Linked DNA regions of Caenorhabditis elegans. The protein of the gene in region 1 binds, or shares a complex with, the protein of each later gene. Each region holds a gene or a part of one and is shown on either strand. Other genes may lie near its edges. A codon is read from its position in the direction of its gene.

What was found.
Region 2: the proteins of kap-1 (region 1) and klp-20 are in contact, whole or in part, in a crystal structure (PDB 9IKB), measured with the Caenorhabditis elegans proteins. Residues at the interface, in NP_001367739.1 of Caenorhabditis elegans: Ile269, Glu272, Leu273, Val276, Arg277, Leu309, Ser310, Ile311, Phe312, Asp313, Glu314, Asn315, Lys316, Asn349, Phe350, Phe352, Asp353, Lys657, Ala660, Gly661, Arg663, Phe664, Lys665, His667, Asn668, Gln670, Trp671, Met674, Val675, Asp679; in NP_497178.1 of Caenorhabditis elegans: Tyr557 (codon at 8,758), Ile558 (codon at 8,761), Pro559 (codon at 8,764), Val560 (codon at 8,767), His562 (codon at 8,773), Leu565 (codon at 8,782), Ile566 (codon at 8,785), Tyr569 (codon at 8,794), Lys582 (codon at 8,833), Ile584 (codon at 8,839), Ala585 (codon at 8,842), Tyr586 (codon at 8,845), Gln607 (codon at 9,295), Met611 (codon at 9,307), Tyr612 (codon at 9,310), Tyr613, Ser614, Tyr615, Arg616, Leu619, Ala621, Ser622, Thr623, Ala624.
Region 3: the proteins of kap-1 (region 1) and klp-11 are in contact, whole or in part, in a crystal structure (PDB 9IKB), measured with the Caenorhabditis elegans proteins. Residues at the interface, in NP_001367739.1 of Caenorhabditis elegans: Pro155, Gln156, Thr159, Ser197, Lys198, Phe199, Ser200, Cys201, His203, Thr263, Asn264, Thr267, Ile269, Lys304, Leu307, Lys308, Ile311, Phe312, Met345, Phe348, Asn349, Phe352, Lys378, Asn381, Tyr384, Leu385, Cys388, Asp390, Lys393, Glu416; in NP_001369897.1 of Caenorhabditis elegans: Phe567 (codon at 5,381), Pro569 (codon at 5,387), Lys644 (codon at 5,702), Arg645 (codon at 5,705), Leu646 (codon at 5,708), Val647 (codon at 6,281), Ala648 (codon at 6,284), Thr649 (codon at 6,287), Pro650 (codon at 6,290), Cys652 (codon at 6,296), Arg653 (codon at 6,299), Arg654 (codon at 6,302), Pro655 (codon at 6,305), Met656 (codon at 6,308), Ser657 (codon at 6,311), Met658 (codon at 6,314), Cys659 (codon at 6,317), Glu660 (codon at 6,320), Ile679 (codon at 6,377), Val686 (codon at 6,891), Glu687 (codon at 6,894), Ala688 (codon at 6,897), Thr689 (codon at 6,900), Ile690 (codon at 6,903), Ile695 (codon at 6,918), Arg696 (codon at 6,921), Phe697 (codon at 6,924), Cys698 (codon at 6,927), Gly699 (codon at 6,930), Glu700 (codon at 6,933).

The regions. Positions count from the first base shown.
Region 1 is NC_003281.10:7,335,572-7,345,400, reverse strand, and holds kap-1 (Kinesin-associated protein), read right to left. Parts: upstream 6,401-9,829; coding exon 6,331-6,400; intron 6,267-6,330; coding exon 6,194-6,266; intron 5,748-6,193; coding exon 5,510-5,747; intron 5,155-5,509; coding exon 5,043-5,154; intron 4,951-5,042; coding exon 4,805-4,950; intron 4,752-4,804; coding exon 4,613-4,751; intron 4,567-4,612; coding exon 4,479-4,566; intron 4,349-4,478; coding exon 3,994-4,348; intron 3,644-3,993; coding exon 3,425-3,643; intron 3,339-3,424; coding exon 3,214-3,338; intron 3,168-3,213; coding exon 2,965-3,167; intron 2,579-2,964; coding exon 2,511-2,578; intron 2,464-2,510; coding exon 2,263-2,463; intron 1,933-2,262; coding exon 1,828-1,932; downstream 1-1,827. Other genes in the region: F08F8.6 (uncharacterized protein), read right to left, coding at 20-82, 131-180, 437-529, 575-674, 1,003-1,203, 1,592-1,630; gsp-2 (Serine/threonine-protein phosphatase PP1-beta), read right to left, coding at 7,212-7,334, 7,564-7,698, 7,746-7,859, 7,909-8,123, 8,182-8,412, 8,539-8,670, 8,727-8,778.
Region 2 is NC_003281.10:218,105-228,601, forward strand, and holds the start of klp-20 (Kinesin-like protein klp-20), read left to right. Parts: upstream 1-3,311; 5' UTR 3,312-3,314; coding exon 3,315-3,452; intron 3,453-3,513; coding exon 3,514-3,628; intron 3,629-3,958; coding exon 3,959-4,103; intron 4,104-4,779; coding exon 4,780-4,890; intron 4,891-4,951; coding exon 4,952-5,031; intron 5,032-5,087; coding exon 5,088-5,410; intron 5,411-5,728; exon of another isoform or gene 5,729-5,778; intron 5,779-5,799; coding exon 5,800-5,971; intron 5,972-6,021; coding exon 6,022-6,229; intron 6,230-7,233; coding exon 7,234-7,576; intron 7,577-8,724; coding exon 8,725-8,898; intron 8,899-9,285; coding exon 9,286-9,377; intron 9,378-9,422; coding exon 9,423-9,462; 3' UTR 9,463-9,471; intron 9,472-10,497. UniProt on the Caenorhabditis elegans protein: Component of the kinesin II motor complex (composed of kap-1 and the heterodimeric motor proteins klp-11 and klp-20) which is required for intraflagellar transport (IFT).
Region 3 is NC_003282.8:8,754,234-8,764,529, reverse strand, and holds klp-11 (Kinesin-like protein), read left to right. Parts: upstream 1-2,463; 5' UTR 2,464-2,533; coding exon 2,534-2,578; intron 2,579-3,124; coding exon 3,125-3,180; intron 3,181-3,229; coding exon 3,230-3,334; intron 3,335-3,473; coding exon 3,474-3,723; intron 3,724-3,766; coding exon 3,767-3,859; intron 3,860-3,911; coding exon 3,912-3,982; intron 3,983-4,033; coding exon 4,034-4,994; intron 4,995-5,045; coding exon 5,046-5,143; intron 5,144-5,361; coding exon 5,362-5,504; intron 5,505-5,594; coding exon 5,595-5,710; intron 5,711-6,280; coding exon 6,281-6,383; intron 6,384-6,876; coding exon 6,877-7,022; intron 7,023-7,304; coding exon 7,305-7,393; intron 7,394-7,722; coding exon 7,723-7,795; downstream 7,796-10,296. Other genes in the region: F20C5.11 (uncharacterized protein), read left to right, coding at 7,810-7,845, 7,895-8,091, 8,394-8,561, 8,611-8,997, 9,073-9,250; elli-1 (Enlarged germline granules protein 1), read left to right, coding at 9,718-9,787, 9,836-9,964.

The DNA.
Region 1 (9,829 bases):
CGAAAAATAAAAAACGAACCAGATCAGTCTCACTCTCCTTTGGTGTCTTCTGTAAGCTGAGCATGGCCGATTTTGGAGCAGGCTGAAAATTGATTGAAATGAATGAAAACACTCGAGTGAACATACAAACCTCTTCAATAGTTCCAAGTGTCATAGTCTTCGATTTACGAGTATCTTCATCTGAAAATTGATTTCGATTATTTGCAAGAAATAGACAGACACTTCACCAGTCCCTTTCCTTCTGCCTACCTAATACTTACTTCACACCTGCCTGCGTACGTGTCCACCTCATCCCTACATCTTACGGCTTTGCCGACTTGCACAACCCCCCTCAATACCTACTCCCTGTCTATCTGACCACCAGGGCAACCAAGTTGCTGGTTGCCGAAAATTGGAGCGTATGGCAACTAAACAATAACCGAGTTCTGATTCTTACCTCCCATCGTGTCATAAACACGTTCAATATCAGATGGTGGAAATGTGACATCTTCTGGATATCGATTATCTTTTTTTCCTGGTTTTGTTTCCTCTGAAATAATGAATTTTGGAGAGACAGATACAGAGAAAGACATACGTTTTTGTCCATTTGTCGAGTAGTTCACATTGACAGAACCCAAATGATTAGGATGACAGATTTGTTTGCAGATTTCGATTGGAAGGAGAATTTGCAACGCCTGAAACTAGTAAAATTAAATAACTTTTTATGAAAACTTTTCTATCATAATTTGGGGCATTGACCAAAACCAATTTTTTCTAAAAATAACCTTATCGAATGTTTATTTTTGTATCGGAACATTATAGAAGTTCGAAACTACAGTTTATTCGTTAGTTTTTCATCATTTGACTTGAGAGTCGTGATAGTACTTCAGAGACTCTTCGGATATCTACAGTAACCTACAAGTGTATTGTATGTGTGAATATAATGTTTTGTAGAAGTATCCAAAAGAGAGGTGTTCAATTCACAACTATCGAAAAGGGCAATTTCTGAAGAGTTGAACTTGCCTCGTCAATCAAATCGATGATTGCATTATCCAAATCCTGTATCGTACTCCATAGTTGAAATGCGTTGAAAACCGAGTAAATGGTACTCAACAACGCGATGAAGCAAAGTGCAGAAGCTACAATCCATAATCCAAGTGCCAGTTTATTATAATGAAAATATTCACACTGGTGTTGCTTGAGTAAGTTATCGATCGTTGTTGTCTGAAAATCCGATTAACATGAGAACTGCTAATGAGGTTCCCAGCCACGATGCAACTAGATTCCACTTCAAATTAAACGTGTCAAGTATTAAGAAACCATCGGTGCATGAGAATGTCTACTTTCTGGCGCGAAAATGGCGGCAGGAGAGATTCTTCGGATATCTAGAGTAATCTAATTGTAAGAACATGCGGCGATGAGAATTTAGGTACCTTCGCTACGAGATATTCCCGCGCCAAAACGGTAGGCATTCTCATGATCTCATGGTCTCTTAATAATTTCTCTTATTTTCTTCTGTGGCATTTTTGAGTCCTAGACTCTTTCAAGTACTATATGTGTCCCCATTCACTCCACCTTTAAGATTCACAAGATTGAAAGTTTCACAACTTACCGAAATTATTGCAGTTGTAACATTTGAAGAATTGTTCATTTTTGAATAAAATGAAGCAGTCACTTCGAGGAATGAAACACTAAATGTGAAACACTACATGGCCAGAGAAAATTTGACCTTTCAAAAGATAAATATTTATACGTGAATTTTGTTTTAATTTTTTGCATATAAATCAAAACATTCATTTATTAAGTAAAAATATATAATTTGTAGGTTAAAAAAACAACAAACAAAAGTTAAAAAAGGGGCTCATTCATATCAAATCCATCATCATAGTGATCAAATTTGAGATCAGCTCCAAAATCTTCATCATCGTAATCTACGAATTCGCTGTCGTCTCGCTGGAAAAACGATTTTTAACCGGTGACTTTAGAGCCTATATTAATGTAATGTAACTCAAGCTGCATTACTGCTATCCTGTTTCTACCGTAACACTCACCGTAAACTACTAAATAGATTCATTTAAAGTAATGATGTTTTTGATACATATTTTTAACGGGATAGTCAGAGTGTCTTCGTTTTTGAAAGTATTTTTATACAGAAATAAAACTAGGAAATGCTAGTGACGTTAAATTTCCAAAACCTTGTATAGTATATTTGTATAGTGACCAGTATCATAATATTATTTGTACCAATCAACGAATAAATTGTTAAAATAACTACGATCATACCTCAACCATCTCCAACCATTGTGCATTGTGCCATTTGAATCTCTCTCCAGCTATCCGTTTTGCCCATTCTTTTGAATGTTCACCCATTATCAAAAGGGCATTATCGCAAACTTCTCGAACCACTGCGTTTGCATCGTGCATCAAATCGATCATATGGGCTCCGAGAGCTGAATCTTGAGTCATCAGGCGAGCAGATAGTTCCTTTGAAAAATTTATATGAGAGTTGAAAAAACTCTAAAACGTTATACCTTGTGCTTTAAAAATTGCAAGAAAACGTAGAGAAGTTGCACAACAAACTCATCATCAATTTGGCATGCTGAAAAAAAGATTGCGATATTTTTCAGTAATTTATTTGTATTCTCGATACACCCAAAAAAGATCAAAATGACACCAGTAAAACACTTCAAAAACGTTAGATTTTAAAAAAGATTTAGCTGAAGATTTGTTAATTTGCCAATTACTTCCAAAAATATGTACTTTTTGAGTAATTTTGAACATTTTTACATGTTCGATTTCCTAGAATGTTCAAATACAATTGAAACACAACTAGTTTCAATAATTTCCATTTTGTAATTTACCAACTGGCAAAGCTCCACCTTTAAATCTGATTGTGAGGAAAAATGAACTTTTATGTTTTCAAAAGTTACTGGGGTTTTATTATGAAACAAACTCTTAAAAAATAACTTAAATTTATGAACGTACATTGTAATAACTGCACAAATGTATCAATCAAAGGAGCCAATAACCTAGCTGCATCCAATTGCCTAGCCATTGTTCCACAAGCAATTACAATTTGTAGTTGGAGAGGTTTTATGTCTCGAAGTACTGTCACTTCTTCGGATTCATCAATTCCTTCTTGAAGTTGAGTTTTCATCCAAGGAACAAGATTTTCAGATTGAATTATTCTATAATTTAAGTTTTTGATTGGAATTCCGAACTCAAAAAGCTCACTTTGCCCACGGAGCAACTTTGAGCTCAGCAACTGTACCCATGCATTCTAAACCAAATGAAGATTTTGACTCTGAGTTGTCTGCTCCTTCATTTTTTGCAATCCCGATAAGAGTTTCAATCCACTTCTGAAAATTCTAAATTTAAATAACAACGTTCATTTTTTTTCGTTATCTATTTTCACCGTTCAATAATAATTCAGTTCTCAACTTACCAAAAACATATTCTGCGTCGCACCTTCGTGACTTGAAATCGCTCGAACAACCTTTATGAGCATTAGATCTCTCGAGTTGATAGACATTTCCATAAGAAGATCTAATCCTTGACCACGTTGTCCACATACCAACTGAGCATTTCGTTTTTCGAGGCAAATATTCAACAGGACTGCTTTTGTCACTTCACTTCCTGTTCCACTTAGCACATCTTTCATTAGCTGGAAAAATGTTTTTTTATGAATCATATCCTCGTAGCAAACGTTGGAAAAATCGGTGACTATTTGCTATGTGGCGTTATATTTAGGTTTAACAAAACATAGACCCGAGGTAAGTAGATTTTGTCTGAATTGCTATTTCAATAATGTTCAAACAATTTCAAAAAAAACAATTGATTCACAAATAAAGTAGCTCAAACGACAACCACTATTCGAATGCAAACTTGAAAATAATATCAAAAAATTTGAAAAGTTTTAGTATAGGATTGGTTTTTAACAATTTTCCACTTGCGTTTTTCCATCTTTAATGTATAGTAACTTTTCGACTATCTCCTTTGATTGACCCAACTCACCAATTTAATAGCATCGGTGTATGCTAACATTGCTTTTGCATCATCATTACAACTTAATAAATACATCATATTCAATGCCTTCGTGTCACTGTCCAATAGAGATGCCATATGTGGTACAAGACCTCCATTCACCATTTTTGGTAGATTTTTGGAGTCAAATGAAAAATTGAAAAGAAGCATTATAACTGCTTTTCGCAGTTCTGGATCTTGAATTGGAAATAGTTTCAAAAGTTTTTCGATTGTTCCATTTTGTTCCATTACAATCTTATTTTCATCAAAAATACTTAATTTAAGAAGAAACTTGATAGTTGCAGTTGTTAGTGAACTTGTAGATTCTGATGACATTTGGAGGCATCTAGAAATGTAAAATGAGTGAATGTGGTGTTAATTATTAAAGGTGGAGAGATTAAAAAAAACTGTGAAAAGTGTTACTATGATATTTCAGCATTTTACAATTTCCTCACTAACTGCGCCTTTAAACTCACTTGACAAGAAGTGCCACCAAATTTCTTCGGACCATTTTCAATTCGACACTGATATCCGTGGCTAGATTGGTAAGAAAAGTGACACATGCTGGAATTGAACCATTTTCAATGTAATATGTACAATTGCAACAAACCTGCCAATAGCATCGCCTGTTTTCGAATGGCTGTTTTTAGTTTTCTCAATGTCTCTTGATCCGTCTTTTTCATCTCAGCAATCCAAAAATCGTACCGTTTTGTTTCATGTTCCATTGCATTTACACATAAAGTACCAATCTGCAAATCTAGCTTTTAAACGAAATTCAGGTGAAGTGAAGGCGTTTAGAAACCATGCATGCCTTGTGATGAAGCAGAATTCCGTGTAAACATGAAAACTTGGAAATATTCACAAAAAGGTTCATAATATTGGTTCCAACTTCAAAGTGTTTCTTCCAGTCTTCTCGGAATACTCTTGCCAGTGCCATCATAAGAGTTTCTGAAATGTAGTGTTATTTGAACGTTAACTTTAATACATAGATTACGTCCGAAAATTATGGTCATCGGGTAAGCTTTTCTAGAATTACCTACCATTGTTCACAAGCTGTGTGAGGTTTTGAGGATTTTTTGAAAGTTCATAAAGTGCCACGGCTCCTTTGTTTTTCTCAACAGAAGTTTCACCGTAGAAGCATTCTATGTACTCCTGAAAGATACATTTTTAATTTCAAAAGTAGTTTTTCAAGTTCTATTTGGTTTTAGGCTCTCACCATAATAAGAAATCTGTTTTTATATAAATGTTGAATGATGTATAGAAAACCATTCAAAGATTATTTTAAACTAATCAGATTATTTTCGAAATAAATTTTTAGATTCTAAAATATTGGTACTACCGGATACAAAAGCACTCAAGCGAGCTTGGTTTTGTTTCAGCTGCTCCATTTTAGAACATGTAACAATTAATGTTTTCAATTTTGATATAGCCTATGCGTATTTGTAAAATAAAACCAAATGCTCCTCAACTTTACGTAATCTACAAAATGTTTTCTTATAAAACGTACATCTATTTTCCCTAATTCTGCACTAATTGTAGGACTATGAATAGGCCTTCGATCAAATGAAACGGCCGAAGAACTTCTTGATCTCGCACTTATTCGTTGATTTCCTCTTTTTTGAATGTAGAACAAAACCTGCTCCAATTGACTTCGTGACGTGGCAGGAATGAAAAGACATTTTTGAAGAATAACATTTGATAAAGCACGAATATCTACATCCAGACTCATTTCTTTCAAGTGGATTCTGTAATACAATTTGGGTAATTTTGTAGCCGTACAATGTTAGATGCAGGTGACATTTTGAGGTTCTCATATATATATATATTCGATTATTATTTTTTATCAGTTATTTTCCAATATTCTAAAAATTAAAGAGGCATGGATTCATGGGGAATGGGTCTCACAGCGAGCAAAATGCTCAAGTCAACACTTTTTGCTATTTTCGGTCGTGCGTTTTCTGTTATTCGGGGTTTTGTGAGCAATTATTAAATAACTTTTCTGTATCTTGATTGTGGTTTTTGCAACAGAAAAAATTTAAAGTGTTACCATAAACATTTTTCGCGGTGAGACCCATCCGAAAGAATACGTGCACCTTCGTGGGCATACGGTCTTAAAAATATTTTATTTTATTTTTCTTGTTAAGCAGATTTGCATTCCAGTTTAATTTTATATTTTATATCAGATTCTTACATTTTTTGATGGCCAAGAGACTCAACGTTCGCTGAAGAAGCTCGCTTTTTTATTGAAATTCCTGCTGAAGAACCTGAATCAAACTTCCAAATAATCTTCGTAACACATTCAATTGAAAATAAAAATATAAAACTTACTAGGAGATTGTTCAAATCGTACAATAATTGCCTGATCTGACGGGTGTGCATCTATTGAAACTTGATTCATTGAGCTAAACACGGAAAATCAATCGAAAAAACTCAAAAAATATTTCTCTTCATTCTGATTACCTATTATAGCTTACTGAAGAGCCGGGGCGGAGCATTTCTGAATAACTGACAAACGACAGAAATCGATGAGACGGCTCGAGGAGCACTAGTCGTGGGGGATGTCTGTTCGTCTCGCACGCTCTCCTTGGAGACGTTGCACTCGTTGTAATAAGAAATATTGCTTACACGCTTGTACCAGTGTTCTATTTTATTTGTTCGGAAAACTTTAATGAATTAAATCGACAAATGGGGGTTTTAACAATATAAAATTGAGAAACGAAGAGTACGGGATGGACGAATGAATGGAGGAAGGAAAGGAGTGGAGATTGATTGACATCATAAACATTTGTTTTAAATATTTAGACCATTTAGAGAAGTAAAATTTGATACTGTTTTAAGAGATAAGTTTAGCAAAAAAAATTAAAATTTGGAATTTAAAAACGAATAAAATGGGGATTGTTTTGATGAAAAATTGAGCCAGCAATTGGTGAGGAGTCATTAGCTCTAAATGGTCCACAGAGATAAAGAGGAAGGGATGTTGACAACGAAAGCTTGAATTGAGAGGAGATTCGCCGGGACCACAGCATCTTCTCGTGCCAGCCTAGATCATAATGAATCGAATTTAAACTTTTTCGAAACTATGTTTAAAATCAAAATTAATGTACACAACTTTTTGAAGCCGATTTACGAGAGATGGCCGAGGCCTCTTGGGGCGTGAACAACAAAGAAAAGGTTAGGTATTTACAGATGATAGATAAATCGACTGATGATTACTTCTTGGCACCCTTCTTTGGTTGCGCAGCCGGTGCGTTTCGTGGTGGGGTGACTGGTCTATTTGAACCAACTCCTCCAGCACCATATGGATATTTCTTCTTGTCTGCTGGTTTCAAGATCTGAAAAAAATATTCCGAATTGTTTTATTTTAATGTTTGATAGGTAGTTTTAGCGTTTAATAAATCACCTCAGACAAATGCCTCAATTTCACCCCGCTTAGCGGCAATTTCTTCGAAGAACTCGAATAGATAGCCAAAATAGACTCGTCTGATTTAACCATTGCATCATTGGTGAATGCATACGCATTATCAGTATTTAAAATTATATAGATGGTACCGCTATGTTTACCTGGAAAGAGCACATCAGTGTTTCATCGACAGTCATCATCGATCCCGCGTTATCAAACTCTCCACAATAATTAGGAGCGCTGAACAATGTAACCAACTGCCGCTTAGCGAAGAATTCGTAACCGTCTTCCACAACCTGAAAATTTCTCGGTTCGCAACTTTGCAGAAAATCTTAAGTAATACCTGGTGAGCTCTGCAAATCAAATCCAAATCGTGCTTGTGCAGGAATTTGGCAACAACTTCTGGTCCGAAAGTGAAAGAGACGCCTCGGTCGTTTTCTCCCCAGCCAGTGACATCCTGAAAATAAATGGTAATCATTCATTGAATTTTATGTTCACAAACGAACTTTATCAGGATCTGACCACAACAGATCGCACAACAATCCTTGATCTGGTACGTCTGTCGGCCTCATGATACGACGAATTTGCTCCATAGACTGAAGATCTGGAGAAAGTCCTCCGTGACAGCAGAAGATCTTTTCGTCGATGATGGCGGCAACTGGCAGGCAGTTAAAGCAATCGGTGAACGTCTTCCACAGTTTGATGTTGTATCGCCGCTTGCCTAAAAACATGAGATTTGAATAAATCTGTACTAAGATAATCTCAGATCAAACTCTTACACTCGTCATAGAAGCCATAAATTCTGTTGATCGAGGCACACTCGTGGTTTCCTCGGAGCAGGAAGAAATTTTCCGGGTACTTGATTTTATATGCAAGTAGGAGACAGATAGTTTCCAACGATTGTTTCCCTCGGTCCACATAATCGCCGAGGAACAAGTAGTTCGACTCTGGGGGGAATCCACCATACTCGAACAGTCTCAAAAGATCGTAGTATTGTCCGTGCACGTCACCTGAAAAATATATTTTCTCAGAATATATATTATCAAAAATAAAAACGGCAATTTCCTGTGGAAGGAAATACTAATAAGTAAAATGACTCATAGCAGGAAACGTCAACTTTTTTCGATAGAACTTACCGCAAATTTTCAACGGAGCTTCCAACTCGAGAAGAATAGGTTGGCTCAGAAAAATTTCACGAGACTTCTGGCACAACCCCTTGATCTCGCTCTCTGTGAGTTGAACATTTTTCCCTGGTTTGGATCCTCTGACTGAAGCGGAAATCATTTTAAGATTAATTTCAATAAACACTATGACAAACACATACCTTCCAATAATCTGGAGATGATATTGTCCAGATTAAGCTTTTCTACGTCCATTTGTTGCGAGAAATCGCTCAAACAACCCAATTAGATCTGCAATACGAATAGAATTACCTCTTTGAGATAATGTCAATCAACAAACGTGAAAATACGGAAAATTTAGAAAGAAAGTTTGATAATTACGTCTTTAAATCGCGTGATTACTCGAAAAGTTGATAAAAACAGCAGCAAACATGTCAAAAATCGAAAGATATTTGGAGGCGACAGGGTCAAAACGAATGAAAAGAGTGGCGGGTCTCGCCGCGAAAATGCCGCATTCAGCAGGGTACGGTGGCCGGTGGAGCGCTTTTACATGTTCTCATTTTTTCTGAATTTATCCGCTAATTTAATGATTTTGAATCTGTTTTTCTACATTTTTTCTTCTTGTTAAAATTAAAAAAAAGGGGACGTTCAAATTTTCAGAACTTCATTAGTATTGAATTGAAAAAGAGCGCGCGAAAAGGATTAACTTGGTTAGAGGGCTTTGAAAGTTGAATTTTACATTGAGGAAAATATTTCTACCATTATTTAGAAGATAAAGCTTAAAGTTTCTCTTTTCCCTGAAATTTTCACTATTTGTCAAAAACGGGGCACATATAATCGAATGATGCGCCAATTCGTCACTTTGTTTTCGACCAAGATGGCAGAGAAATTGGTTGGTGGTGAGAGATTGAAATGTGTAAATATAACAAATACACTGTTCTTCGTTCACGATTTGTCAGCAATTATGATCAGATGCAAAAACATGGGGAACAAGATGCATTAAATCTTATTAAGTGAAAGTTTAATAGATGAAAACGTAGTTATAAGAAGTTTATTTAGCATATTTTGATAAAACTTTTACTTATGAATCATTTTGAAATATGAGATTATTATAGTACTCAAAAGTTATATATTATTTAGCTAGAAATATATGAACACTTTGGTACTTCTGCATCCATGAATTCGTTCAGAAAATATATTGAAGCATTAGTTAGAAAATGAGCAGTGAGCATTTAAAAAAATCGATTGATGTCTAGTCAAGTTCAATAAGAAATAAGAAAAAAGAAAAATAGTTGGAGTGAGAAAA
Region 2 (10,497 bases), 7.1 Mb from region 1:
AGGCTCTCTGTGCGCGGCGGCTGGGGGGGATACCGGATAGCTCCGCGAGCTCCTGCGCACTTGGAGGATCAAGAGGTTAATCATGGTTAAAAATAGTTAGAGGTTCTGTACTTTTGAAATAAACAGGGTGGTGGGGAAACCGGTTTAGAAGGGGGAGTTTTTTGAGAATTTTTGAAAATTCAAGGTTTTTTTTAAACAAGGGAACTTATTCTTAAATATATGAGAAACCTAAAATATTTGAATGAATGAGTTGTACGGTTAAGACGGGCTAAAATAGAGCAAAATATATACTGACAACACTTTTGGCTCACTTTTTCAATTAAAAAAAAATTACTACAATGTTCACAAGTGCCGTTTGAATTGAGCAAAATATGTTGTTAATTTCAGATTTCAGTACCGCTGAATTTTTTAAAAACCGAATTGATAATTTCGTTTAAAATATTTGCAAACAAATTTAAGAAAAACCTTAAATTATTTCGAAATTTATTCCAGTGAGCAAAATGTGTTGTCAATTTCAACACCGCTGAAAAAAAATCTCAAAATTGGAAATTTCTAGTCGGAAACCCCTTAAAAAATGCTTTTTTGCTAAATTTTCCCATTGTAGATTTGAGTAGGTGAGCGCCTGCCTCCGGCAGGCCTGCATGCCTACCTAGGCGCAAGGCAGGCGTAAAAATTTTAGATCCAGCACTGGGTTTTTTCTCATATCTGCTAAAAAAACTGCAAAAATTTGGCTGGATTTTTGCCTAAAAATTCAAAAAAAAAATTTTTTCACATTTTTCTGAGACAGTTTTTTTTTTAGGTTTTCACAAGTTTTGGGTTAAAAAAATCTGAAAAATCTAAAAAAATTAAAGCACCAAAAGTGTCAAAATATGAAATAGTAATAGTAGTAATAATAATAATAGAACAAAAAAAATAAAAGAAGACACTATATTTTTCTCACGATGATCATTTCCTTCTCAATTTTTTTTTTTTTGGCATATTTTTTCCTCTTGACTATACGATTTGTTGGGGGTCAATCTTATTTGTAAATACAGAAGAAAAATCATACTAATTGAGCATTTTTTGTTTTTGAGATTTTTTGGGCTTTGAGCGGGAGAGTGCACTGTAGCTTTTGTTGGAGAATTTTCGAGTAAAATATTTTGGAAATTTGGGGAGAAATGTGAGTATGCTGGCCTAAAAAATTGAAAAATTCAACTTGAAAATTGAAATGTTTTAGTTTAAATTTCGAGTTTTACACTAGAAAATTAATTAAGTTTAGCCTTAAAAGTAAAAATTTCAGCATAAAATTGGATAATGTTAGCCTGAAAATTGGTTAATTTGAACCTAAAAAATGAATATTTTTACCTTAACAATCAGATAATTTTAGCATAAAAAGTAGAGATTTCAGTCTGAAAATAGGATAATTTCAGCATAAAAATTGGATAATTTTAGCCTAAGAAATGCATAATTTCAGTCTAAAAATTAGATAATTTTAGCCTGAAAATTGGACTATTTCAGCATAAAAATTGCATAATTTTTGTCTAAAACATGAAGAGGTCTGCCCTAAAAATTGAGCAAATAAGCTTGAAAAGTGGAAAATTTAGCTAAATTTGTTCCTAAAGAATAAATTATTTTAGCCTAAAAATGTATTTAATTTATCTTTAAAATTTTAAGTTTTTAGGTCAAAATTTGGAGATTTTTGCTCCGAAAATTGGACAGTTTTCGCAACATTTTTTACAACATTTTCAATTTTAAGCCTAAAAATGCGAAAAAATGAAAAAAAAAATCATGTAACTTCTGAAAAAAAAATCTGCAAATTTTCTTCTAAAATTTGAAATTTTCGACCTTTGTATTTCCATTTTCCATTAGCTTTTGTTGTTCTGTTTTTTCATTATTCAAAGTGCTTAGCGCAAATTTAATTTCCCAAAAATTTAGTTAAACATCACAGCCTCAAAGTGACGTACATTCCGGAAGTGTGGAACAGACGGGACCCTCCAAAAACACAGTAAATCGATAGAAAATACAATTCTAAACATTTTTGTAATTGGAAACTTATTGATAGCTCAATTCCCCGCGGAGTTATGCAGCTTTGAAGTTTGCGAGGCGAGAGAGTGTGGGTGGAGGAGAGACGCAGGCGGCGCGCACACTGCGTCTCTCCTCTCCCCACACTCTCTCGCCTCTCAAACTTAAAATCTACATAACTCCGCTGAAAATCAAGCTGTTGGAAAAATTCCAAATACAAATGTGTTTAGAATTTAATTTTCTGTTTATTTTTCTAAAATTTTAGTTTTTATCCATTTTGAAAAATGTTGAAACTCGGGTTTTTTTGGTTTCTTCGCAGCCAATCTTTGTGCCTATATGCCAGGATGTCCCCTCTCTGCACTAAAATTCGATACCAGACGGCTACTAGAACCCCCATTTAGTGGACACCCTCGGCTCACTCTCTGCGTCTCTCCTTTCCCCTACATACTCTCCCTTCCTCTGTCTTTTTCTGGGTGTCCCTGCGTCTCTCACGGCTGTTACACTCTCTATTGGTTTCCGGGGACAACTGGTCATTTTACTACTACTATGCTGCTCAAGTTTTGAGGCTACTTTTACATTGTATTAGAAAAACCTGACTTTTTCTGAGAATGTTTGGAAATTTTTTTTTGGGATTTTGGGTTGATTTTGAAGATTTAGAGTCAAATTTCAAGAACTGTTTAGATTGAATTTTCCCACTGAAAAGTACGTTTTTTAATGAAATAATTGAACAAAATATTGAAAATGTTCGAAGTTTGAATTTGGTGCCGAATTTTTGAATTTTCCGTCAAAATTATAATTTTGAAAATTTCTATTTTAGCTGCAATGTTTTTTTTTTAAATTTTTCTATTCTTACCCCTGTTTGAAGTTGATGCTGAAATTTTTAGAATAAAAAAAAAATTTTTGGCATTTCGAAATTTTAATATTATTTTATTATCGAAAAAATACGATCGCACAAATTTCTCATAATTTATTTTTGATCTACCTTGTTGACTAAGCTCCTCCCCTTCCTTGCTTAGCTTAAAATAGACTAAAAATTTTAATTTTTTGAATTTTTCGAAAAATTTTGGAAATTTATAGCCAAATTTTTTTCAAAAGTTCAAAATTTAAACTTTGCTTTAATCTGAAATTTTCTCGACTCTATAATTTCGCGGTAAAATTTTATTTTTTTTATTTTCAAATCTCTGAAATTTTCAGCCATTTTTCAATTTTTTTTTCGAAACTTTGTTTGATTTCAAATTCAAATGCGTTGATTTTATAATTTTTTTTCTGAAAAATTTGAATTTCCCGCTAATTTTTTCCCCATTTTTCAGACAATGGAAGGTGCTGAAAAAGTGAAAGTAGTGGTACGATGTCGTCCAATATCCACCACAGAGAAACTTCAAGGACATAAAATTGCAGTCACCTGTAACGATGAGGAGAAGGCTGTGAATATTAAGAGCCTGAGCCAGGAGGTACGCCCTGATTTATTTCAGATTGTATTTTATAGAGCCTTAATTTGTTCGAATTTTCCAGGATCCCCCACGAACTTTTTACTTTGACGCTGTTTTCTCCCCGAATACGGATCAAATGACGGTGTATAACGTCGCGGCGAGACCCATTGTGGAGAATGTGCTCAAGGGGTATAACGGTGAGTGGCTTGATGTGGGTAATCGATAGAAAATGAAATTCTGAACATTTTTGTAGTTGAAACCTTTTTGATAGCTCAATTCCCTGCGGAGTTATGCAGCTTAGAAGTTTGCGAGGCGAGAGAGTGTGGATGGAGGGGAGACGCAGTGTGCGCATGCCGCCTGCGTCTCTCCCCCTCTCCCACTCTCTCTCCACAAATTCATTGACAGGGCATAACTCCGCGGGGAGTTGAGCTATCAAAAAGGTTTCAACGGCAAAAATATGTAGAATTTAATTTTTTATCGACTAATTCTAAAAATTTATCTGTAAAAAATCTCAAATTCATTTTCAGGCACAATCTTCGCGTATGGTCAAACAGGGACTGGTAAGACCTTCACAATGGCTGGGGACTTGGAGCCCGTCGAGATGCGTGGAATAATTCCAAATTCATTTGCACACATTTTTGATCACATCGCAAAGTGCCAGCATGATACAACGTGGGTTTTTGCTTGAAAATTGGGAGGAAAAGTGTCTTAAAAATATAGAATCCTGGTAGAAAATAAAATTTGAAACATTTTTGTACTTGAAAACTTTTCGATAGCTTTGTTTTTTGCGGAGATACGCGGCTTTGAAGTTTGGATGCCGAGAGAGTGTGGGTTGAGGGGAGACACAGTGTGTGCGTGTCGTCTGCGTCTCTCCCTTTCCCACACTCTCTCGCCCAGAAAACTTTGAAGAGACATAACTCCACGGAAAGGAAAGCTAGAAAGGTTCCAACTGCGAAAATGTTCAGAATTTTATTTTCTACCTATTCACTGTAAATTTGATAAACTTCGAACATTTGGAAAATATATTTTTAATTGAAAAACATGCTTCAGAGCATCAGAAGATTTCTAATTGATACAAAATTAAATTCTGATTAACTTTGCAATAAAAAGTTTCTTGATAACTACATTTTCCGGCGAGTTATGCGGCGTTGAAGTTTCGCCGGCGAGGGAGTGTGGGAGGGGGAGAGACGCAGATGGCGCGCACACCCTGCGTCTCTCCCCCTCCCACACTCTCTCGCCCAGCAAACTTTGAAGGGGCGTAACTCAGCGGTGAGAGAAGCTATCGAAAAAATTTCAACTGCAAAAATGTTTAAAACTTTATTTTCTATCAAATAACACAAATTTTTAGATTCCTCGTCCGCGTATCCTACCTTGAAATCTACAACGAAGAGATTCGAGACCTCCTTTCCAAGGATCACAACGGGAATCTGGAGATTAAGGAAAGACCGGATGTTGGCGTGTAAGTTTTTGCCTGAAAACTACTGAAAATTTTTAAAATTTTAAAAATTCCAAATTTCCAGCTACGTCAGAAACCTGTCGAACCCTACTGTGGAGAATGCCTCGAAGATGCAGGCACTGATGGAGTTTGGCAGCAAAAATCGTGAGTTTTTCTGACAAAAATTGGCTGAAAAATATAAACTTTGATATGATTTTCAGGAAAAGTTGGCGCCACGGCGATGAATTTGGAATCCTCCCGATCCCATGCAATGTTCACGGTAACCATTGAATCCTGCCGGAATGGCCTGGTGACCCAGGGAAAGCTTCAGCTTGTCGATCTGGCCGGCTCAGAGCGCCAGAGCAAAACTGGAGCACAAGGAGAGCGGTTGAAGGAGGCGGCGAAGATTAATCTGAGCTTGAGCACGTTGGGTAATGTGATAAGCTCGCTGGTGGATGGGAAGTCAACGCATATTCCGTATAGAAACTCAAAGTTGACGCGGTTGTTGCAGGATTCGTTGGGCGGGAATTCGAAGACTGTAATGGTGAGTGGTTTTAGGTTTTTAGGTTTTTGAACAGTTTCACAGTACCTAGACTCCCTTGACTCACATAACTCCTTAGAGCTGATTGCTATCAAAAATTTACAACCTAGAACATATAGCCCTTGAAATTTGCCATATTTTGTTAGTTGAAAACTTTTTTCTAGCACTACTCCCCGCGGAGATATGCCCTTTCAAAGTTCTTGCGGCAAAAGAGTGTGGGTTGAGGGGAGACGCAGTGTGCGCGCGCCGCCTGCGTCTTCCCTCCCCCTACGCTCTCTCGCCGCGCAAACTTCAAAGCTGCATAACTCCGCGGGGGAGAGGAGCTATGAGAAAATTTTTAATTGCAAAAATGTAGAGAATTTAATTTTCTATCAAAATTTGAAAGTTTTCAGATTGCAAACGTTGGGCCTGCCACGTACAATTATGACGAGACGCTTTCCACGCTGAGATACGCAAATCGTGCGAAGAATATTCAAAACGTCGCGAAAATCAACGAAGATCCCAAGGATGCTCAGCTCAGGAAGTTTCAGCTGGAAATTGAGGCTTTGCGTAAAATATTGGATGGTAAGCCATAAAATTATTTGAAAATCTGAATTTTTTTTTCGGTTTTTCAGAAGAAAATCCCGGCGACGATGAGAATCAAGAAGAGGCCTGGGAAGCGAAAATGCAGGAAAGGGAGGTGGAAATGGAGAAAAAGCGGAAAATTCTGGAGGAACGGGTCAATTCGGCGGTTAACGATGAGGAGACGCATCGATTGGTGAAGGAGATGATGGAGAATGAGGCGGAATTGAAAAAAGCTAGGAGTGAGCATGAGAAATTGAGGTGAGAAATATGAAAATTTGTACAAAGTGCAGAAAATTAAATTCTGAACATTTTTGCCGTTGAAAGTTTTTTGATAGCTCAATTCTCCGCGGAGATATGCCCCACTGAAGATTGCACAGCGAGAGAGTGTGGGGAGAGGCGAGACGCAGTGTGCGCGCGCCGTCTGCGTCTCCCCACCACCACACTATCTCGCCGCTCGATCTTTGAAAGGGCATAACTCAACGAGAAATCAAGCTTTTGAGAAATTTCCAAAAGGAAAAATGGTTAGAATTTTATTTTCTATCGATTGAATGTAATTTTGGGGAGGTTTTATGATTTTTTACTTTTTTTTTCACACTTTTTTTGTTTTCTGATGAGTTTTAATATATTTTAAGAATTCTCAAATCTCAAAAAGTTAAAATTTGAAGATATTTCGCAAAAAATTGTTGACAATTTTTGAGAAAAAGTTTTAAAACAATTGCAAGTCTTCAGAAAAAAGAAATTCCACAAGTTTTTGATAACAAACTAAAAATATTTTTAAAAAAGGCTAATGTATCTTTAATTTACCAATTTTTACTTATTTTACGGAAAAACTCCAAAAAAAGATTTAAAAAAACACAATTGTGGTGGAAAATTTCTTAAATGTCAAAAACTACACGACCTACCAAAATAGCCCTTAACATTTCCCACATTTTGTCAGTTGAAAACTTTTTTCCAGCTCTACTTCCTGCGTAGTTACGCCGTTTCAAAGTTCGTGCGGCAAAAGAGTGTAGGCGAGGGGAGACGCAGACGGCGCGCGCACACTGCGTCTCTCCCCCTCCCACACTCTCTCAGCTCTCAATTTTTAAAGCGGTGTTACTCAGCGCGGAGAAGAGATGTAAAAAAGTTTTCTATTGACAAAATGTGGGAAATTTTAAGGGCTACAATTTGCCTATTATAACTTTTTTGATAGCACTGCTGGAATTTGAGATTTTGTGGTTTTTTGCAAAAAAAACGAAAAATTATGAATTTTTTATTGTTTTCAGATCAAAGCTAGAAAAAATCGAGAAAAAGCTTATTGTGGGAGGTGAAAACTTACTGGAAAAAGTCGAGGAGCAAGCGAAACTTCTAGAAGTGAACAACAAAGAGCTGGAGCAATCCAAATTCCAGGAGGCCCACCTCAGAACTCAATTGGAAGAACGGACGGCTGTAAAAGTGGAAATTGAGGAGAGGTATTCATCTTTACAAGAGGAAGCCTTTGTAAAATCCAAGAAAATCAAAAAAGTTAGCAATGAGCTGAAGGATGCTCGAGCGGAGCTTAAGGATTTGGAAGAGGACCATCAGAGGCAGGTGGAAGCTATGTTGGATGATATTCGCCAGTTGAGAAAAGTTAGTGATTTTTTAGAAATTTGAAAAAAGTTGAAAAAAAAGTCAAAAATAGATTTTTAAAAATTAAAAAAAATTTTTTTTTTTGAACTTAAAAAAATTTGTCCAGATTTTTTTGTGAAATTTTTTTTTCTAAATTTTCGAAAATAATTTTAAAATCGAATAGAACGTCTCAAAAAGTACAATTTTAAGTATTTAAGCTCCGCCCCTTTGTTAAGACCCGCCCACTTTTTTTTTGAATTTACGAAAACTTTTTTTTTGAAAAATTTTCCAGAACTAGTTTTCGTCAAAGAAGTTTTTTTTTTCAAACTTCTAAATCAAACAGAGCTTCTAAAAAAGTATAATTATAAATATTTAAGCTCCGCCCCTTTCTTAGACCACACCCACTTTTTAGGATTAAAAAAAATTTCAGATTTTTTTTTCGTCAAAAAAGTTTTTTACTCAAATTTCAAAAATAACTTCAAAATTGAATATAGCTTCTAAAAAAGTATAATTATAAATATTTAAGCTCCGCCACTTTCTTAGGCCACGCCCACTTTTTTTTTTGATTTTTCGAAAACACTTTTTTGGATTTTTAAAAAATTTTCCCAGATTTTTACGAAAAATGTTTTTCTTCCTAATATTTTTTTTTTAATTTTTGTCTAGAAAAATAAATATAATTTTTTAGGATCACCTACTTAGGCCCCGCCCCTTTTTAGGCTTAACCGAGTTTTAGGATGTACCATGAAACCTCAGGATTTCCCCGTTGGAAAAATAGCAATTTTATTGAATTTTCTGAAAATCGAGGCTTTCACGTGGTGTCAGACTGTCCCATTCTGGCTTGATCTACGTAGATCTACAAAAAATGCGGGAGAGACGCAGAGTTCTCAACTGATTTCGCATGATTAAAAGCGTTCTGACGCCACATTTTTTTAGGCGAAAAATTCCCGCATTTTTTGTAGATCAAACCGTAATGAGACAGCCTGGCACCACGTGGGGTTTCAAGATTTTATGATTACAAATTTTACTGAAAAACTCAAGAATTCACAAAGTTCATTTTACATTTTTGAAAAAAAAATTTTTGACATTTTTTTTCTGTTTAAGAATTCCAACTTTATGATTTTCGATGAAAAATTGAAAATTTTAAATTTTAACAGTCAATCCATTTTCAGGAGCTCCTACTAAATATTGCCATAATCGATGAGTACATTCCGGTGGAGCACGTGGAGCTAATTGAGAAATATGTCAGTTGGAGTGAGGAGCACGGAGATTGGCAGCTCAAAGCAATTGCCTATACTGGAAATAATATGAGAGCCTCCGCGCCGCCGGCTAAGAAGGAGTTTTCGGTTGGTTTTCAGTTTTAATTTACGTTTTTAACTTGCATTTCGAACAATTTACATTTTCTCATATTTTCAACAACTAGCAGAGCTATCAGAAGTTATAGGCTTTAAAATTTTGCACATTTTATTAGTTGAAAATTTTTTTCTAGCGTCTCTCCCCGCGGAGTTACGCCCTTTCAAAGTTTTTGCGGCAAGAGAGTGCGGGGGAGGGGGAGACGCAGACGGCGCGCGCACGCTGCGCCTCTCCCCCTCCCACACTCTCTCGCCGCTCAAACTTTGAAGGGGCATAACTCCGCAAGGAGAGGAGCTATCGAAAAACTTTGAACTACAAAATGGTTTAGAATTTGATTTTCTATCGATTGCTGTACATTTCAAGTAACCAAATATTTCCAGAACAACAACCAAACGGTGCCAATGTACTACTCGTATCGTGCAGATCTTGGTGCATCAACCGCCGAGCACAGGCCACGGACGAGCTCCAAAAAGTTTGTAAAACCGATTGATTTTATTATTTATAGATTTTTTTGCAGACATCGAGCATCAATTCGACTACAACAATTGCTCACATAACTGGTACAGGTGAGCTAGACTATAAACTACAAACTACAAATTTTAATTTGACTGAAAAACTTCTCAGTTTTGGGGTAAGTTTCTGACCCAAAATTTGAGAAATTATTTTCCAAACTCTGCCATTAAGTGGGCGGAGCTTACAGGTTTTCTATTTTTAGGAAATTGTTGCAAACTACAAACTACAAAATTAAAACTACAAACTACAAACTATAAATCATAGCTTTCACTATCTTGGCATATTCAACTTTTGAGAAAAAAGTTGAAAAAATCTGATTTTTTGACAAAGAAAAAGGTGGGCGGAGCCTAGTACCTTTTTTGAAAGCTGCAAACTACATGGTACAGACTACAAACTACAAACTACAAACCGGATTTTTTATTTTCTTGGAATTTCAAATTTTGGAAAAAAAAGTTTTTGATTCGATTTTTGTTTTGATTTTTCCTAACTTGTTAGCCAAAAAGTGGGCGGAGCCTAACTTACATTCTTCTAAAACTACAAACTACGAATATTAGACTACAAAATACACACTAAAAACTACAAATCATAATTTCAACTTTTTTTGGATTTCCTAAATTTTCGGGGAAAATTTAATTCGATTTTTTTTCAAATTTTCCCCTAATAAAAAAGGGCGAAGCCTGTAATTGTAAGCTTTAAAAATTACAAACTACAAAATGCTGACTAAAAACTACAAACTACAAACTACAAACTACAAGCCGAAATTTTTATTTTCTTGAATTTTTTTTTTTTCATATTTTGGAAAAAAAAAAGTTGTTCATTAAATTTTTCTCTGATTTTTTTCAAATTTTGTTCCCCAAAAAGTGGGCGGAGCCAATAGTATTTATACTTTTCTGAAAGCTCAAAAAATTGTGCATTTGACAAAATTAGTTTCAGCTTGTAGCAAAAAATGTTTTCAAGAAAAAAATGACTGACAAAAAAATTTTCCAAAAAAAAAATTTTTGTCACAAAAAATGACGAATTCAAAATTAATTTTTCTTGACGTATTTTTTTCTAAATTTTTCAAAATTTTCATACTCGTA
Region 3 (10,296 bases), on another chromosome or scaffold:
TTTGCTCGGTCCGATGACCATTTTAATTTCGTTAAAAAAATTTAACTGTTTTTGAATAAAATCATAGATTGATGTGAGATATGAGTAAAAAACTAGTTGATTTGTCAAAAACTTCATCATCGATGAGGAAGGAAGTGTTTAGAACTCAAAAAAAAATAGTGAAAAACTCTCTACGATTTCGAGATGAAAATTATAATCCAAATAAGAAATACTTATGACAAAAAAATCTAGCAAGAAACATTTATTCTAATTTCAAGTTAATTTTCTTGAATATGTTAGATTCCAAAATAAAATAAACGGAACGGAAACTAAAGAGATGGTTGTTGGTGTCTGCTCACTATCAGTTGATGACTCAACAATTCTTAAGTGATGAGTCAGTTGAAAAGGAGAATCGATTTTAAAAGGGGAATCATACGTATATAATGGATGCTAATATCGAATGAAAATTATATTAAATTATGGAAGAATCTCTTTGAAATTGGAAGGTTTGAAAAGAATTCTCAGCCGTCTAGGCTGAAATACTACAAAATAAAAATGAAAAATATCCCGAAAAAATCGTGTAAGAATCCAACTTAAAAAATCGAGATTTTCCAATTCTACCTAATTTCGATTCTTTCCTAATCTCACTTGATTTTGATTTGATTTTCTACATTCCTATTGCCAACGATGTTTTCAATAATGTTAATGAAATTTTCTTGTTTTTTTCCCATTAAAGTGAATTCAAAATATTTTATTGTCATATGCTTGGTTCTAGTAAATTTTTAATTTTTTGAAAAAAAAAAGAACGAGCCCTATATGATTATATGATATGATCACATGATATGATGAGTATATGATTTTTTGCTTGGTATTTAAATTTTAAAATTATAATTTAAAATTCTACTTTTTGAAGAAAAAGGAAAAGCCCTGGTAGTTGAGCCATAGAGAAAGTGCAAAGAGAACTGTTCCTGATAATTTTGAACATTTCTGAAAAGCTTCAATAAAATATCTAGAGCCTGGCCTAAGCAAAGAGCTCCAATTATCTTTTCCGAATCAAGACCTTCAATTATATCCAGTCACATGATTTGTTTTTATTCATAATTCACTTTTTTAGACTTCGGTCTCCTGTCGCACTTTTCTGCTTCACTGAATTTTCTGCGAATTCTTGCATGCATTTTCAAATAATCTGCAACATTTTACTGATTCTCTATTATAATTTCAAGGAAATTTTATTTCATTGCTTTCATTGCAGCCTGTCTAAAATTGTTCTAAACCGATGTCAGAGTATAGACATTAAAATTTGTAATTTTTGCAAATAATCTTTTTTTTTAAACCAATCATTGAATAAAATCTCAAAAAATCAAGTTTCAAAAGTCTCTTGAATTAATAACTAAGAGCTAGAGCTCCCCTGGTAGGTAGATGCGTTTTCAGGCCCTGGCGCATGCCTTAACCCTTTTTCATGTATGTGATATAAAAATAGTCTATATACATAGAAGCCATGCTACTAATAATGTATTACAAATCAGTGAATATCATCAAACATTATAACTTCTCTGTGAATTTTTTCAAAGAAGACTATCCGGAATTTTACTTTTTCTCATTTTTAAATAAATCAACAATGTTATGGTAAGCTTCTGATTCATCCTATGTCTAGTTGTGTTTTAATTTAAAATCTACACATGTCTATGATTACTTTTTGAAGCACCTCCATCCCTTTATAATTCAAAAACGTCAAGTTTAAAATGTATATGTTTCCAAAGTTTCGGACACATGAACAACTACTTCTGAGTGTTCACTAGAAACATATGCTCCATTCTTCACATTGTCTGCGTCTCTCAACTGCGCAGGATCGATATTATGCACATTTTGTGCTCTTTTAACCCTCTCCCTCTCTGTCCCCCATCTTGAAACCACCTTTTATTCCTCCAGAAGTCTCCTTCTCTCAAACTCTCTATCTGCGTCTCTTCGTATTTTTACTATCACTCATCTTCCGACATCTTCTTCCGATTACTTCTTCCTCGTCTTTTCGGGAGTGACAATATTACTTTAGTCCATCCGTTTTAGTACTTCTTTGTACGAAATGTAACACTTGTGTGAACATTTTATAATGAATAGGATCTGTTTTTTTTGCTTATTTAGACATTTTATTCACATTTTCATATTATTGAAGAACTTTAATATTTTAATATTTTGATGAGAAATTAGAAATTTTCTCCATTTTTCAACGTCAATGATGTTTTCAATCTTTTTAATGCATTTTTTTCCTTTAAAGTTAATTCAAAATATTTCTAAAAATTTCAAATGTATGCATATTTTTCCGATTGTCCAGATGTGACATAAAACCAAAAATATTGAAATTCCACGACTACAATTTCTGGTTTTTAGTCACTTTCTCTAGCGGTTATTGCTTCAAAATTCCGTTTCTCGATACAATATGATTATTTTTCCACATTAAACTAATCTTCTTAAGTTCCAGACCACTCTCACTAAATCAGGAATGCACCAAAATTTTCCTTGACACCTACATTGATAGCCAAATATTTAGTGACAAAAAATGGTGGAAATAATGAAAAAATCTTCAAAACAGGAGACTGTCAAAGTAAGTTTTTTTGGGGTTTTCAAAATCTTTTTTTTTGTTCGAAACATGTTCAAAAATTAGTTCTCAAAATGTAAAATAAATGAAGTATTTTTTAGAAGTACGAAAAAGAAAAAAAACTAAAATTCACCTGTCTTCAAATTTTCCATTTTCCAACATAAGTTATATTCAACGTAATAAAGTACATGCTAGTTTCTAAAATGTCTGATTTTGACCAAAAGGTGAGTTATTTTAATTTTAAATTAATTTGAAACCGTATTTTAATATAAGCACTAATAAACGTAATTTTTCAAGTTTTAACATAATTTTTTTTTAAGTCCAAAACGTATATTAGTTTTTACTAAAAATACAATTTTCCTCTAAAAACTTTTCGAAGCATCACTATTTATGATTCAGTTGAGTTTTGCATTTGAAAGAAAAATCACAAGACTCTAAGTAAATTGTACTTTTTTTCGTTACTTCTCATACAAAAACCACCAGCTTAAAAATTTCATAATCCAGTTTTATACATTTCCAAATTCAAATAAATGTATTTATTTATGTTTACAGGTAATTGTGAGATGTCGACCGTTATCTTCACAAGAAATTGCAAATAATTATTCAAAGTAAGTAAAGTTTGAAATATTTATATTTTGAAATTTCGATCATTTTCAGAATAGTACATATGCGACCACAACGTGGGCAAATTGAGCTGAAAAATCCAAAAGAGCAAGATGAGCCATCGAAGGATTTTACATTCGATGCAATTTATGATGAAAAGTAAGATTATTTATTTCTAGGAGTACATCACTTTTTTTTCACCTGCTATAGAAATATTAGTATTTTTCAAAATTATTTCTCCACAATTTTATGTTTATGATTTTATGAGTTCTCTTTTTTAAAAATATATATTTTATAGTTCCACACAATCGGATCTATATGAAGAAACCTTTCGAGATCTAGTTGATTCGGTTCTAAACGGATATAATGCCACGATTTTTGCATATGGTCAAACTGGAACTGGAAAGACTCACACAATGGAAGGAAAATCATCGGATCCAGAACAACGAGGTGTCATCTATAAGTGTATTGACCATATTTTTGAGCACATGGCAGCATCACATAATCAAGAGTATTTAGTTAGAGCTAGCTATTTGGAAATTTATCAGGTAAGGCGTTAGGATGTGTGATTTACAAAAATGAAATCTTTAGGAGGAACTTCGAGATTTATTAGAAGCCGAATCGAATAAGAAATTAGAAATTAAAGAACGTCCAGATGGAGGAGTTTATGTGAAAGATTTAACGGTAAGTGATAGTTTTCTGAAATAGAAGACGACTATAAATTTCAAAGTTTCAGTCAAAATTAACAAGGACAGTAGGTGAAATACACGAAGTGATGATTCGAGGAAATGGGCATCGGTCTGTAGGGTAAGTTATTTCTGTGGTCGCCGTTGGATTTGATTTTACTAAAATTTTCAGGCGAACCAACATGAATGAGCATTCGTCTCGTTCCCACGCTATCTTTATCATTACTGTTGAATGTTCCCGAATTGGTGAAGACGGAGAAAGTCATATTACAGTTGGTCGACTAAATCTTGTAGATTTAGCTGGTTCAGAACGGCAATCGAAAACAGGAGCAACTGGCGAAAGATTTAAAGAAGCTACGAAAATCAATCTTTCATTATCGGCTCTTGGAAATGTAATCAGTGCATTGGTGGATGCGAAATCTGCCCATATTCCTTATCGAGATTCAAAACTGACTCGACTTCTTCAAGATTCTCTCGGTGGAAATTCAAAGACAGTTATGGTTGCTTGTATTGGACCTGCAAGTTACAATTTTGAGGAGACACTTGGTACATTACGATATGCAAATCGAGCTAAAAACATCAAGAATCAACCGAAAATTAATGAAGATCCTAAGGATGCTTTACTGCGAGAATTCCAAGAAGAAATTGAAATGCTCCGTGAGCAACTGAAGCAGAGAAAGACAAGATCGAGGGATGGAGCAACTCAAAGTTTTTATGATGCTGAACGAGCAAAACTTGAAGATGATATTGAAGCAATTCAAAAAGATGATTCACTGATAAAACATGAAAAGGATCGATTAATAAGAGAAATTCAAGAGAAGCATGATCTGTTAGAAAAGGAACGGATAGAACAAGCACGGGTTGCTGAAAGAATAGCAAACATTCAAAGTCGACTTATCGTAGGATCTGAAGAAGATGGAAGGTTAGAATCAAGGACAAAAGAACAACATGCACAACTGGAAAAGAAGAGAAGAGAACTTGCCGAACAAAAACGAAGGGAAAGAGAAATGGTTGAAGCATTGGAACGGCAGGAAGAGGATACTGTGGATTTGAAACAAACATTTTCGGATTTAAGGACAGAGGTGGAGGCAAAGACAAAAAAGTTAAAGAAGATGTTGATAAAGTTGAGACAGGTTTGACTTCAGATGTACCAGGTGTCAAGATAAGGTTTGTGAATGTTTCAGGCTCGCAATGAGATTCGTGATGTGTCTGGAGCATATTCCGACGAACGACAAGATCTGGATCAGACAATTGCGGAAGTGAGCAAGGAATTGAAGTTGAAGTAAGTTCAGTGATATCTCAATTACAATTTAATAGATTCTCACTCATTTTCATTTCTTTCACTTTCTTTCGTATTCTAATTTGAATTCAAATAGTGTAATTTGATACCGACAGCGCAGGTTCTTTATTCTCACAATTCTCTCCTTTTCCCCCCAGAAGAATTTTCTTTCGTTAGGATTTGATGTTCATTTTTTTTAATAGAATAATATAAGTTTTCAGGCTTCTTATTGTTGAAAACTTCATCCCTCGAGACGTGAGTGAAAGGATAAAAGAACGAGCAGAATGGAATGAAGATAGCTTTGAATGGAATGTTAACGCATTTCAATCAACTTCTTCTAATTCGTCAACACCATTAAACAATAGTAAGTTTTGTGTTTAAAAATTAATTAGATTGAATAGGGGACTTTTATTTAATCAGATTTCCAATTCAAAACTAATTCCTCTTATTTCAGCAATTGAAGTCAACGAAGACGGTGTCTTTACACGATCATCTGGTGCCGATAGTGGTGTCTCCGTGAGCGGCGGAAACGGGACGCCTGCGACATCGCAATTTTTGGACAAAAGACTGGTGAGAAGAGACTTAGAGAAACGAGAGCGAGTGGCTCCATTAGGCATGCATTCGAGATTCTAGCTCATATAGAAAAAGAAAAAGAGGCAAACAACATTTTCGATTTCTTTTTCTTTTTTTTGTGTTCTTGAAAATCACGACATCGTGTGTCCAATTCAGTTGTTCCTTTTCTCATTTTTCAGTCGAATTCTGAATATTTTTATTTGTAGTGGCATTGTATAATACCGACTTTTGTAGTTCACTATGTCAGTGCTTAGAAAGTATTAAGTACATTTTGATACAATTCCCTTATACAAGCTGTGGCAACTTACTAAAAACTGCTCAAATATATTCCCATGTTTCTGGCAGGACGTTGCCTAAAATCTGTTAGTACTGATTACAAAAATCTGAATACAATAATTTGGGTAATATTATTGTAATAGTATAACTCAAAAGTACAGTTCATAAGTTTGACCGAAATTAAAATTTGTATAACTTTAGAACCAATTCAAATTTTATATGAGCTATCCACCATCATTTACAAAGTTACCATTACTAAATTAGGTTTAAATTGAATAATTATTTATTCAGGTGGCAACTCCTGGCTGTCGACGGCCTATGTCAATGTGTGAGCGGATGCTCGTGGAAACAGCTCGAGAACAATTCGGTGCTCAGAGGAGGCCTCCTATATCAGGTATATATTTTTGAAATATCTTTTTTAAACATGATACAGTGAATCTAAAATATCACTTAAAACACTTATCTAATTACTTTAGGTGTCTCTTATAATTCTAGAAGTTTGGATTGAAAAAGTTTCATCACAATTTCCGTTTTCTTATCTAATTCTCGCACTCTCATCTTCACCGGAAAACTGGCCTGTCGTCTCTCCCGGGTGGCCTTATGTTTCATGTTTCTCTTTATCTATTTATCTATGCAGTTCTGATGGACTGACGCTCTCTGTGCTCTTCCGCAACTTTTTTTCTTTGTGTGTACTCTTGCTCCCGGCAGTTGTCGCCTTTCATTTTTCTATTTCACTATTTGTTCCCTACCTAGTTTTATGCATTTGTTTGTTTGACGATCTTTTCAAAACCTAACACCGAATTTAGAACTCCATCAGTTTTTCTTGACTTCTTGACTACATTTTCAGTTTAAAATCCATTGAGCTTACAAAAATCGAAAATTTTCAGGTTCAGGATCGTTTGTCGAGGCGACAATTCCCGAGGAGACAATCCGATTCTGTGGGGAGAACGTTGTCGTTTTCAGTGCTCTGGAACGATTTGTTCCAGAGGTGACTGACTCGGATCCGTCCACTTTTTCAAACTCAATGATGATGGTACGTTTCGAGGTTTTATGGCTTATTGTTAATTTATTAAAATTGTTCAAACAACCTCAACTCTAATAGAAATCAAAGTTCTATTTGAATGAATTGAGCGAAGGATTAGTGAAAAAAGAAGGGATTTTTATGCAGGATATCACATGCATTTTATTAGACTCGTTTTTTTTCTCTATCCTCTTCTCATCAGAAATATTCGTTATTAACAACATTCATTTTTTAGACTTTGAGTTTCTCATTTATTTTTTCATTTGAATATTTTTTCAATCCAGAAATTTTCAGTCAGCACGTCGTCCATCAATCGAGAATCTGACAATCGACGCGTCGAAGGTTCTCGTTCCAATTCTGAACCAATCGACTATGATATTAAAGTACGTTTTTTTGTGGAATTATTGTCATGAATATTCTGTTTTAATAGTGAAAATATATGCTGACGAAAAAAGTACAGTTAAAAAATGCAACAAAAAAAAACAAGAAATGGGTCCATTCGATTCTAAATTCAAATTTTCTGACTTTCGAAAAGAATATCTGAAATAAAATGGCAACAAAACTTGGATATAAGGACCCGCCAAGATCTTGGCTTTGCTGAGATTTTACATCGATTTTTTATTTACTAAACGGAATTAGTTTGTACTAGTTTTTGATTTTCACTGTATATGACACACAAATAAGAACAAAAATTGCATGAAAAACATTTCAGAAATTCAAAAAACGGTCAAGCCCGCAACGACACAATGCCACCGAACGGTTCGATGAGAAGAAGCCAGAATTAGAAAATAATGAAACGATGAATGAGTTAGAATATGTTGATTATCTTATTAATGTAAGTGCCAGATTTTTGTTAGATCTTTAATTAAAATTTAATTTTCCAGAAAACAGAAGAAATGACTAGAAAATTGAATGAATCTACTGATTCTGATGACTACCGTAATCCATTGTCATCTGGGCGTGGTTCTATGACGTCATCATCAATCAATGAACCACGAATGTTTATTTCAACAATGTCGACACCAAGAAGAACTCCATCTAGAATTCCAGCTTTAATGACTAAAAGCTTGCATGCTCCAAGGTAAGTGCAAACGTTGGATTACTAAAAGTAAAATAATTCTTCTCCACATGTGTGTCTTTAATGGTGAAGTATCGTCTGCCAGGTTAAAAAATATATAAATACTTTCATATCAATCATATCAATCTTCCAAATTTTTAGAAAGTTTGGAATTTTTATGAAATTTCAAAAATTTTTGGTTGACTTCCAAAACTATGATAGGTGAAACTGAGTTATTGTCAATTTTTGACTATATTCGAAAAAGTTTCAGAAATTTTGGTTAACATTGTTGCTCTACTTGCCATGCTTTAAACATCTGATTTCAGATCCTTGTCAACCCCTCAACGTGGTGCAACAGTCTACGGTTCGGGAGAGCAGCTTTGTGCTGAAAATTCTGGAGTTGGATTTTCAAGTAACCGGAGAATCGAGACGGAAATGCTTTTAAGTAGAAGTCAAGAGAAGAGAAAACAGAGGGCAAGTAGTTATGATCCAAGGTAAGATCTTTACAGTACTGTCCACATAAACAACGTTTCAAATTTTCAGATGTCTTCTTGCTCTTCACTCATCTCCATTCCGTCTGTCAACATCTGCATCAGCCACTTCTTCATCTCAACACCAAAGATTGTTGACGTCATCATCAATCCACGTTGCATCCTCATACTCTCGACTTCTGCCTCGACGCCCTCAATGGGTTCGTAGTCAACCATCAAGTTCAGTCCAACTTGCTGAATCGACAGTATCATTGGATTCTTTTGAATTGATGAATACTAAATCCAATTTCTATTTGGATTCCGATGAGTCTTCTTCTGATGATTCCGATGCTGAATTTGGTGCTGAGTGTTCTGTTGATGGTGTTGTTGAAACACCGAGAACACGTCGAAAGTTGATTTCAGTTAGAAGGTTGAAAGACAGAAATCGAAAGAAATTCAAGTAAGTCTAGTTTCTCTATTTGGCATTCTATTATATTCTATAGAAAATGTGTTTTAGAAAAATCTTAATTTTCAGATGTTCCATGAAACGTCTACATCCACCAACTTCACCATCAAAAATCTCAAAAAGTGCTTCAAGTTCATCCGATCTTACCTCATTCTTCTGTATCTCTTCACCATATTTCTACCTCCTCATCGCATTCCTATTCCGATTTCTTATATTTTTATCAGATACTTTTCTGCCGATCTTCTGATCTTTAAAACCTAATTCGAAATTTCGAATTTAGTCGTCGTTGCGGGCTTTTTCAGGCCTTCTTGTAGTCTCGAACAGTTTTTTAATAAGAAAATATCACTATTGATACGGTTACCTTTCACATTATTAGTGCTGATTGAAACCAAACTTTTGAACATTGTCAGAAATACTGTTTCCCTTTTCTGTGTGATTTTTTATGTCTCTGGGATTTTTCAAATAATAAATAATAAACGATATTCTCGTACATTCCTTTTTCTTTTCTATCTACTAATCGAAGGGTCATAACACATAGAGCGGCACCATAAAACAAAGTAGATCATTTTATTCGGAAAAAAATAATTTTGCGGGAATTTTTTGGTTTTCCTGTATAGAATGGGTTGCCCATTACATCCGTATTTACCAAATCGCATTTATATTATATTTATACCTTTTTGAATATCTAATTTTTTGAATTTTCAGGTAACTATAATGTCAAATGGTAAACGTGGCCGCAAGGCTAAGCCAACTAATAAAGAAAAGGATATGATATTTACTCCTGGTAAGCATATCATCTTAACATTTTTAAAAAATAATGTCATTATTGCAGGATGTGTGGATTGTCACATGAATCATCTCCCATTCCAATGCCCTCGTCCAGTGATGACAAAGAAACTGCCAGAGTGGGAGAAAAAATCGATTGGAATGGGAAAATTAAAGAACCCACTGGATAGCAAAGGTACAATTTATAGTCGTCCTCGAAAACACATTACGTGCCTGATTATTCAATTTGCGTCTCAAGTGCATTGAAAAAAATGCTGAAAGCTTAAATATATGTAGTTTAATTATAACACTTTCAATCAGAGTCTCTTGAAATTAATTGGCCAATATTGGCAACATGAATTAAATTAAAAAACTAAAGGCGCATGCTTTTATGAGGGAGTTGGGTCTCACCACGAATACAGTAGTCTCGAACGTGAGAGACGCATTGAAAAAATGTTCTGTGTTCCTTCAATTTTTCAATTCTTTTCCCCATTTTCGGCGTGATTTTTGTAATTTATTATAGTTTTC